Caenorhabditis elegans: one gene and its partner. The protein of the gene in region 1 interacts with the protein of each later gene in a pairwise test. Each region holds a gene or a part of one and is shown on either strand. Other genes may lie near its edges. The genes, in order: nhr-171 and nlp-25.

The links.
Region 2: the proteins of nhr-171 (region 1) and nlp-25 interact in a two-hybrid assay, tested with the Caenorhabditis elegans proteins (one large-scale study listed by BioGRID).

Annotation. Positions count from the first base shown.
Region 1 is NC_003283.11:7,510,061-7,514,442, forward strand, and holds nhr-171 (Nuclear receptor domain-containing protein), read left to right. Parts: upstream 1-1,704; 5' UTR 1,705-1,780; coding exon 1,781-1,873; intron 1,874-2,076; coding exon 2,077-2,187; intron 2,188-2,300; coding exon 2,301-2,651; intron 2,652-2,872; coding exon 2,873-2,977; intron 2,978-3,021; coding exon 3,022-3,274; intron 3,275-3,376; coding exon 3,377-3,624; 3' UTR 3,625-3,666; downstream 3,667-4,382. Other genes in the region: nhr-172 (Nuclear Hormone Receptor family), read left to right, coding at 1-53, 295-542.
Region 2 is NC_003283.11:19,604,137-19,609,166, forward strand, and holds nlp-25 (Neuropeptide-Like Protein), read left to right. Parts: upstream 1-2,043; 5' UTR 2,044-3,374; coding exon 3,375-3,525; intron 3,526-4,097; coding exon 4,098-4,210; 3' UTR 4,211-4,283; downstream 4,284-5,030. Other genes in the region: kcnl-1 (Calmodulin-binding domain-containing protein), read left to right, coding at 1-34, 85-226, 279-427, 1,113-1,752.

The DNA of each region.
Region 1 (4,382 bases):
GATGACCAATGAGGAGTTCATTTTGCTGAATCTAATATTCTTTTTGAGGATAGGTAAGTTGTTATTTTTATTTTAAATTCTTTATCTTTTCTTTAAAAAAACGATACGATTTCATGTCTGTTTCTTAATGCTTGTAGCCTGTGACCTGACTCTTTGAACTTGGCCAATCAAATCTCCTCATTTAGACGATGCTTGACTTTCTTCGCCCATAGTTTCCGTGTTAGATCTTAGTGGTGAAACATTCAAATATTAAATGCGGCAAAGTTAAAAATCAAATGGTGTCCTTTTTTGCAGACAACAACCTATCCGAATCCGCAAAGATCTCCTTGGCTTCTCATCAAAACTTCTTCACCAACGCACTTTTTGAGTATTGCCAATTGAAATATGAACGTCGTGCTCCATCTCGATTTGCAGATCTCTTATCTTTATGTCAAATTATTCAAAAAACTTCTTCCGAAATGAAATACATTGGAATTATGTTACAAACTTTTGTCCCCGGGTTTCGCGCTAAAACTCTTGTTTCCGATGCGTATATGATATAAAACATGTTAACATTAATGATGAATTGTTTATATTCTAAAAATAGCTTGCATATGTGTTGGATAGGAACGTGAACCTTTACTAGTTATCGACGTGAGCAAAGGGTCACTGTGAACTCTTCTTGCATTTTGAATTATTCCACACTTCTCCGGTTTAACTAATAAACCTTCTTATTATTCTCTATCGTCGTCACGACACAACATTGGCGATCAGGATCATTGAGAGCTCACTGCACGAGCGCACACCAACAAAAACTGGTACAAGGGGGCGATCCTCATATTTCATGTCAGTGGCTTGCATCTTTGAGGCTTCTTACGGACCACACGAGTGCGACCGTTCCTCCATCCGGATCTTGCCAGTTCATCTATACGGTACCTCAGTTGTTCACACTTGATGTTCCTCCAACCTTCTCCTAAGACTATAAGGTGCCTGAAACCTTTTTGGCAAACTCATCTCAATCTCTTTTGCCAATCCTTTGCACATGGTACCTCAGTTGTTCACACTTGCTGTTCCTCCAACCTTCTCCACACAGGTGCAACGCGTCCAATTCCGGTCGGAACACGTAGGCGGCTTCGCTCTTCCGAGAATTGAGGATCCCGATTCCTTCTTCTTTTTCTCAACTTCCCTGAAGTCGCTCCTGTCCACCTTGACTCCATCTGCCGAGCGCACACCATGTGCCTCTCCCCTTCTCTGAACCAACTTATCCATAAAGTACGGTGGGATGCAGTGAGCTCTCAATGATCCTGATCGCCAATGTTGTGTACTGAGGCCGAACAAGGAGAGAAGACGAGTAGTTTATTACATTACTAAACTAAGGAATCGTCTCTTCGTCAAAACCAAAGCCGACAGGTCGTGCGAGGATCAGCTCCCATTACTGATCATGCCGCCACTCGCAACAGAGGTCGATATACCGCCTCTGGAAGACGTCGCACTGCTCCGAGTCCAGGCAGTTTTGGTGGTTTTTGTCGTACAAGAGGGGAGGTGTTGGATAGGAACGTGAACCTTTACTAGTTATCGACGTGAGCAAAGGGTCACTGTGAACTCTTCTTGTATTTTGAATTATTCCACACTTCTCCGGTTTAACTAATAAACATTCTTATTATTCTCTATCGTCGTCACGACACAACAATATGTTTCTTTTCCCTCATCACAGAATTATGTACCAAAAAATGGGTTAATCCCACAAAGGTCTATCAATATCAATAGGTCTAAAGCACTGTACTGTGAAACAAAAACTACAATGTCTTTTAATATCTATTCGACGTCACAGGCATCAGTACAAGTGTCAGATGTTTATCGTTTTATAATGCTGCATTTTACCCAGCGACGGATTGTAAGTTGAGATAATCTCAATGGGAATACCTTCAAAGGTTGGCCTTTATTTTGAAAGTCCAAGTCGAGTGGTTTTTTTGAAATTCAATATCGTCTTGAACGTTTAATTTGATAAAACAACTGATTTTGATTCAATTCGAATTGACTGTTTTTTTTTCATTTAATCAAACGATTTTTTTCATTTCAATTTATAATTATTTTTAGGACAATATTTATCATTATATGCAAACACCAGCTACAATCACGCGAGATTCGGATGACTTTGAGAAAGTATGTACTGTATGCCGACGCCCAGCGTTCACCAGATATTATGGGGTAAGTATTTTCTAATTTTCTAATTTTCCGTTCACACAAGTTTTTGACTTTAAATTGTGTAAATTCAATGCAAGATTTTATTTTGATTTCGGTACTCAATATTTCTAATTCAGGCAGTCTCCTGTGAAGCATGTAAAATGTTTTTTCGCCGGATGATTATTGAAAAACTATCATACGATTGCAAGAAAATCAATAATTGCTATGAAACTTCAAAGGGGACTCGATTCAAGTGCAGGTCATGCCGGTTCAAACGATGCCTGCAAATGGGGATGAAGCTTCCCCCGTCGAACTACACAACGTTGGAGCTCAAAGATAACAAAATTGATGAGCTAGCTAATTTATTGACTGATTTGAAATTACGAGACGAAAAACGTTGTGATCGCTTTATGACATTTTACACTACGACGGATCCAAGTCTTCACGATATTTTGAGCAAGAATACAATAGTTGTTCATGAGCAGAACGTGAGTTAAAAAAGATATTTTGCAAATCTTTTGTGATCATTTTTTTGTTTTTTTGTAAAAAAAAAATTAAGAAAAATACATTATGGTTATTTATACAATTTCAAATTTCTACAAAAATAGGGATTCAGTTTGTTTGAAATTTTTATTTTAATCTTATTTATATTTAAGAATACGAAATTTAAAAAAGTACACAACTAAAAATTCCAATTTTTGATTATCAGGATCATACAACTACAACCATCGAGTGGTCGTTTCTTGCAGCTTATAACATAATTGAATATTTTACATCGTTTCATTTTATTGATAAACTCAATAATGATGATAAGGTTTTAAAACAACTTCAGTTAATCCCAATTATAAAACTTTGCAGATGAAACTATTCCAAGCCAACTCATTCAGATCGAATATATTTTGTGGCGGAATGCGCGGATATAAAGAAAAACGAGACAAAATGGTAACGCCAGGTGGTCAAGAAATACTTCCCGAAATTCTGGTCAAGTTATTGAATACATCTCCACAGTTGCTGCGTAGAGTGTGTTGTCAAGTGATTGCAAGGTTGATTGAGCTAGAAATCACGAATGAGGAGTTTGTTCTGCTCAATCTGATATTCTTTTTCAATACTGGTAATTTTTTAATTTATAGCAAGTCCTCTCAACCTTTGTGATATTAATTAAGCTGCAATTAGGTCACATCTTACTCAATTACATTAAACCTACAATTTTCAGTAGACAGCATGTCTGACTCGGCAAAAAGTACACTTGGCTCCTGGCAAAAACTGTACACAAATGCGCTATTTCAATATTGCCAATTGACTTACAAGCATCGTGCTCCATCTCGTCTGGTTGATCTCTTATCATTATATCAAATCGTTCAAAAAAATACATCAGAAATTCAGTACATTGGCATCATGACTCAAGCTCTCCTACCTGATTTTCGGGTCAAGAAACTTGTCTCAGATACTTATAGGATATGAATTTTTGTTTACTTTTTTGGAATAAATACATCAAATGTTAAATTGCACGCGGTTCATGTTTCAGCAAAGTAATCCTACAGTACTCCGCCGTATTTCTACAGTACTCTTGCAGAAATCAGTTATTTACCACAGTATAGGAATAGGTGTATGTGGACGATTGCAGACCTCGATCAATGTCGGTTGCCCGTATACAAAAAATCTTGAAAAAGTTGTCAGTGAAAAGGTTGTAAATGTAGATTTTTATTTCAAAGGTATAAATACTCAAAAATATTATAAATTTCAATTTGAAATACCCTCAGGTATTCAATTGTTCTAACAGGAAGTATTTTAGGAAATCTAGTTAGAGAATTTGCCTCACCACGTGTTTTCATTTTATAGGTCAGCAACACGGAGCACAAAAAATGTGCAGGGAGTTCTGGTCCAACGGTGCGGAAAAAGTAGTTACCTAAACCTGATTTCTGTAATTTTTTATGACTTTTGGATTTCAATTTTTAAATTTAACGAAACTCATAAGAGTCTTTCTTTGTCGTTTTCTTCTCAATTGTTCACAGTTCAATTTTTCGTCATAATTTTCTATAACTCAGTTTGTTTTTTACTTATTAACTCCCTGAATTTCCTTCAGATTTCACGTAGGATACTTTTTTTCAGTGACATAGTCCGGAAACTCAATTATTACGAGCTCAATATCAATTGAAACGTTGCTCTTTTGACCGCCCTTATTTTCGAGAGTCTGGGAAATTCCAGAAATAATTTTCTGG
Region 2 (5,030 bases), about 12 Mb from region 1:
TGTGCATGTCGTGGATGTTCACCCAATGCGAGCGGTAAGTCCCCTTGAAGCCGAGATTAAGCTGAAAATTTTGGAAATTTCTAGATACGACGGCCAACTGGAAGTGGAGCACTACTACCTCAACTCGATGTGGTTCATAATGGTCACATTCATGTCTATCGGCTACGGAGATATCGTCCCGAACACTTATTGTGGACGGTGTTTATCTATTACTACTGGAATTGTGGTAGGCTTTCTAGAGTTTGGGCCAAAAAAAGTGCAAAATTTTTCAATTCCAGGGAGCCGGTGTCTCGTCGGCTCTAATTGCAATTATTTCGCGAAAATTGGAGCTCTCACGAGCCGAGAAGCACGTGAACAATTTTATGGCCGACTCGAAGCTTACCAATCAACGGAAGAATGCCGCAGCTAGCGTGCTTCAGGAGACATGGTGAGCAGAATACTTGTAAAGTGGCAAAATTTGTGAAATCCAAATTCAATCAACGCAAAATTTAATGCTGAGCATTTCATCAGTTGAAAATTTTTTGATATCTCCATCCGCCGAGGAGTTGCACGCGTTTAAAGTTACAGCCGGCGAAATAGTGTGGAGAGGGAGAGACGCAGACGCCACCGCTCTCTGCACTCTCCCCCTCCACCACGCTCTCTCGGGCGCCGAAACTTTGAACGCGTTTATCTCGACAGCGGTTAGAGATACCAAAAAATTTCCAAAACATAAATGATGCAGATTTTTAAGCTCTATTTGATTTCTGCATGAAAATAATAAAAAAAACTTTACTCCCTTCGAAAAACAACACTTGCAAACTTTGAATTTTTATATGTCAAGTTTTTCCTACTCCACATTTTATGCTGATCATTTCTTCAGTTGAACAATTTTTGATATATCTTACCGTAAATGAGATGTAACCATTTAAAGTTTTGCGTTGAGACATTGTGGAGGGGCGAGAGACGCAGACGCCACCCCTCTCTGCGCTCTCCCCCTCCTATACGCTCTCTCACCGCTCAAAGTTCAAACCACTGTATCTCTGCGGGGAATTGAGCTATCAAAAAATTTCCAACTGATGAAATGCTCCAAATTCTATGGTCTATTTAAATTTTTCTCAATTTTCCTATTTCAGGTTCATCCACAAGTACAAAAAAGCTCTGCACAAGGGTGACGACTTGCGACTGCGCCACCATCAACGCCGCTTCCTCCACTCTATCAACGAGTTCCGTCGAATCAAGTGGGACCAGCGAAAGCTCCAAGAAAAAGGAAATTCTCTGCTAGACGTCGGAAAACTGCACAGCGACATGCACGAGACCCTCTGGGAGATGCACCGTACCCAGGACCACTTCATCTCCCAGATCGACGTGCTCACTCAGAAGATCATGGAGCTCCAAATGACTCTGAACACCCGACCGCCGTGTTGTGCTCCACCGACTTCATCATCCAACGACGCGTACTTCTCTACCTCAACTCAGCTGGGCACAGTACTGCCTACAGTGATCCCGACGATTCCCCTGCCGCCCACGCAGTCGCCAATGCTCCACGCGAGCCAGTCACACCGGGAGCCCCTCCAGGTCACCACCACGACTACTACGTCATCAGATGGTCTGCCACGTATTAGCGTCGGATCCACGTCATCAACTGCCACTTCAGCATCCTCTGGGAACGGTAGTCTCCCACAGTGTACGGTAGATCAATTGTCCAACTGCCCGACCGGCGGGATCTACGCTACAGTAACCACACCGCTGATTTCAAATTTCGAAGAGGTTTAAACCTATATTTTTGTATTTTATCATTATTTTAATTTTTTCACCTGTGATTAATTCTGTGTTCGCTCCCCCGTTTTGTCCCATTTTTTTGCCATTTTTGATCTCCTTGTCCTACTCCGGTGTTGCCTCCTTCCGTTTGCAATATCAAAATGTGATTCGAAACTTTTTAAAATTTTTTTGACCAACTTTGTCGTTTTTCCCCCGATTTTTTATATTGAATAAAGCTAATATTTTGCTTCTGAATTACACAATTTTCCAGTTTTCAGGATTCGATATTAGAAAAATCGTGTTCTACTGAAAATTTGAACCAGTTTGTTAGTTGAAAAATTTTCGATATCTTCATTTTCCGCGGAGTTAGGACGCTTCAAAGTTTGGAGGGGGAGAGAGTGTGGGGCAGAGGGAGAGCGCAGAGAGGCACACACCCTGCGTCTCTCCCCTTCCACACTGTCTCGCCTCAAAACTTCGGCCACGCGTAACTTCTTAACGGTTAGAGATACTGAAAAATTTCCAACTAGAGCAATGTTCAGCACAACATTTTGCGTACAGAGAGGCAGCATTTATTTGAAAATTATAAAATTGAAGAAACTTTTTAGATTTTCTTGTCAATTGTTCAAAATTTTGATACAAAATTCTGAAAGATCATCACATAACAATCATTTTTGTCTTTTATAGTTCCTCGATATCTTCATTTTCCGCGGAGATATGAAGGTTCAAAGTTTGGAGGGTGAGAGAGTATGGTGGAGGGGGAGAGCGCAGAAAGGCTCGCGCACCCTGCGTCTTACCCCCCTCCACACTCTCTCACCTCAAAACTTTGAGCGCGCATAACTTTTTAACGGTTAGAGATACTGAAAAATTTCCAACTGGAGCAATGTTCAGCACAACATTTTGCGTACAGAGGGGCAGCATTTATTTGAAATATTTCAAATTGAATAAAATTTTCAGACTTTTTTTCAATTTTTCAAAATTTTGATGCAAAATTCTGAAAGAACATCACATAACAATCATTTTTGTCTTTTATAGTTTCTCGATATCTTCATTTTCCGCGGAGATATGAAGGTTCAAAGTTTGGAGGGTGAGAGAGTATGGTGGAGAGGGAGAGCGCAGAGAGGCACACACCCTGCGTCTCTCCGCCACCCACACTGTCTCGCTTCAAAACTTCGAACGCGCATAACTTCTTAACGGTCAGAGATATCGAAAAAATTCGTAAAAGAAAAATGTTTAGCGCAACATTTTGCGTTCATTAAGAAAACTTTTCACAAAAAGAATTCAAATATTTAGACAATTTTAGGGGACAAATGTTTTTGTCAGGTCAAAATGTTAATTTGATCAAGCCTTTGTGATTATAACAACGTTTTCCGACCAAAAAAAAAGTGTAGAATTCACCGAATTTCTCCAGTTTTTCGGGGTAAAGTGTAAAATTTTGGACCAGAATTGTCTTGTTTTAATGATCATCGCCGATCATCGAAACAGATTCGGCATATTGATAAAAATGACGTCACCTTGAAAATTGTATAGTATAAAATGCGTTGATTTTCTTATAAACTTCAATTATTTTTCTACACTTTTCGAGATATTTTTCAACCAAATTTTATCGATATCTTCTTTTCCCAGATTTTTTTTTCAATATGCAATCACTAATTGCGCTTCTCCTGCTATTAGTGTGCTTCTTACACTTGGCACAGTGCCAATGGGGTGGTGGATGGAATAATGGAGGTGGATATGGTAACCCGTATGGGGGTTATGGCAGAGGTGGAGGATATGGTGGCGGATATGGAGGTAAACTAAAAAACGTGTAAAATTGAATGTGGAATATGGTGCATTTTGTAAATTCCCAGAAATATTGAGTTTGAGCCAAGTTATGGCCGTTTGAAGTTTGTGGCATAGAAACCCAAATTCTGGATTTTCTAGGCCATCAAAAGTTAAGTAAGATAAAAATGCGCATAATTGTTCATAGATGAATGTTATGTATCTGAATTTTGAGAAAAAAAACCCTGTTTTGAGCCAAAATATCGCCGGTTTAAGTTGGTGGCCTAGAAACACAAAGTTTGAATTTTCTAGGCCATCAAAACTTAAATTATGCAAAAATGAGCATAACTTTTCAGAGATAAGTATAGTGTTCCTGTAATTGAAAAACTTCACTTTTTCCCGAAGTTATAACCATTTGAAGTTAGTGGCCTAGAAACCCAAGTTTCATGTTTTCTAGGCCATAAAAAAATTAAATTAGCTAAAAATGCGGCCAACTTTCCATAGATGAATATAATTTTTCGAAAATTGAAAAATATCAATTTTAAGCAAAGTTATTGTTGTTTGAAGTTGGTGGCCTAGAAACCCAAATTTTATATTTTCAGGTGGTTTTGGAGCACAGCAAGCCTATAATGTGCAGAATGCAGCTAGAATTGGAACAGAAGTTGCAGAAGGTGTCTTGGTAGCTGAGGAAGTGTCTGAGGCGATTGGAAAATAATTTTAACTACATGTTTTCTGTATAAAATTGTTTTTTTTTTTGAAATTAAAAAAATAAATAACTTCATCTTATAGAGCAGACAATTTGAAAAATTTTTTCAGTTGAAAAAATTTCAATATCTCTGCTTTCCGCGGAGATACGACGGTTCAAAACTGTGAGGGGTGAGAGAGTGTGGTGGAGGGGGAGAGTGTAGAGAGGCACGCACCCTGCGTCTCTCCCCCTCCCACACTATTTTGGCATTAAAACTTTGAGCGCGCGTAGCTCCTTAACGGTAAGGGATATCGAAAAAATTTTCACTGCAGAAATGATCAGCGCAAAATTTTGAACAAACTGCCGTACATTTTAAAGTGTTTAGTTGAAAAGTCTCGAAAAAAACCGCGGACAAAAGATGAAAGCGGCGGTTCAAATTAGTTAGTGTAAGACGGCGCGCACAAATCAGAATAGGCAGTCTTTGCCCGCGCGTCTTTATCATATCAGTTTCCTATTTGGTGTACCCATTTGATTGATAGTCTATTGGATTTTCGAGAAGAAAAACTGTATGGTGACATCACTCGGCGGCGGGTATAAAAGCAGCTTTGTCTCAGCGATTCTGACCAGTCAGAAATGGCTTTGTTTCGTTGCTTTTTGTGAATTTTTTGGCCCAAAATTTGTATATATTTGAGCATATTTAGGCAAATTTCCATATTTTTCAAATTACGCGAAATTTCTAAAATTAAAAAAAAATTCAAAAAATTTCAAAATTTTCGAAGTCCATAAATCGCTCAGTTTTTGAGATTTTCAGTTTTTTTTTTGACTAAGATACCATTTTGAATATTTGTTT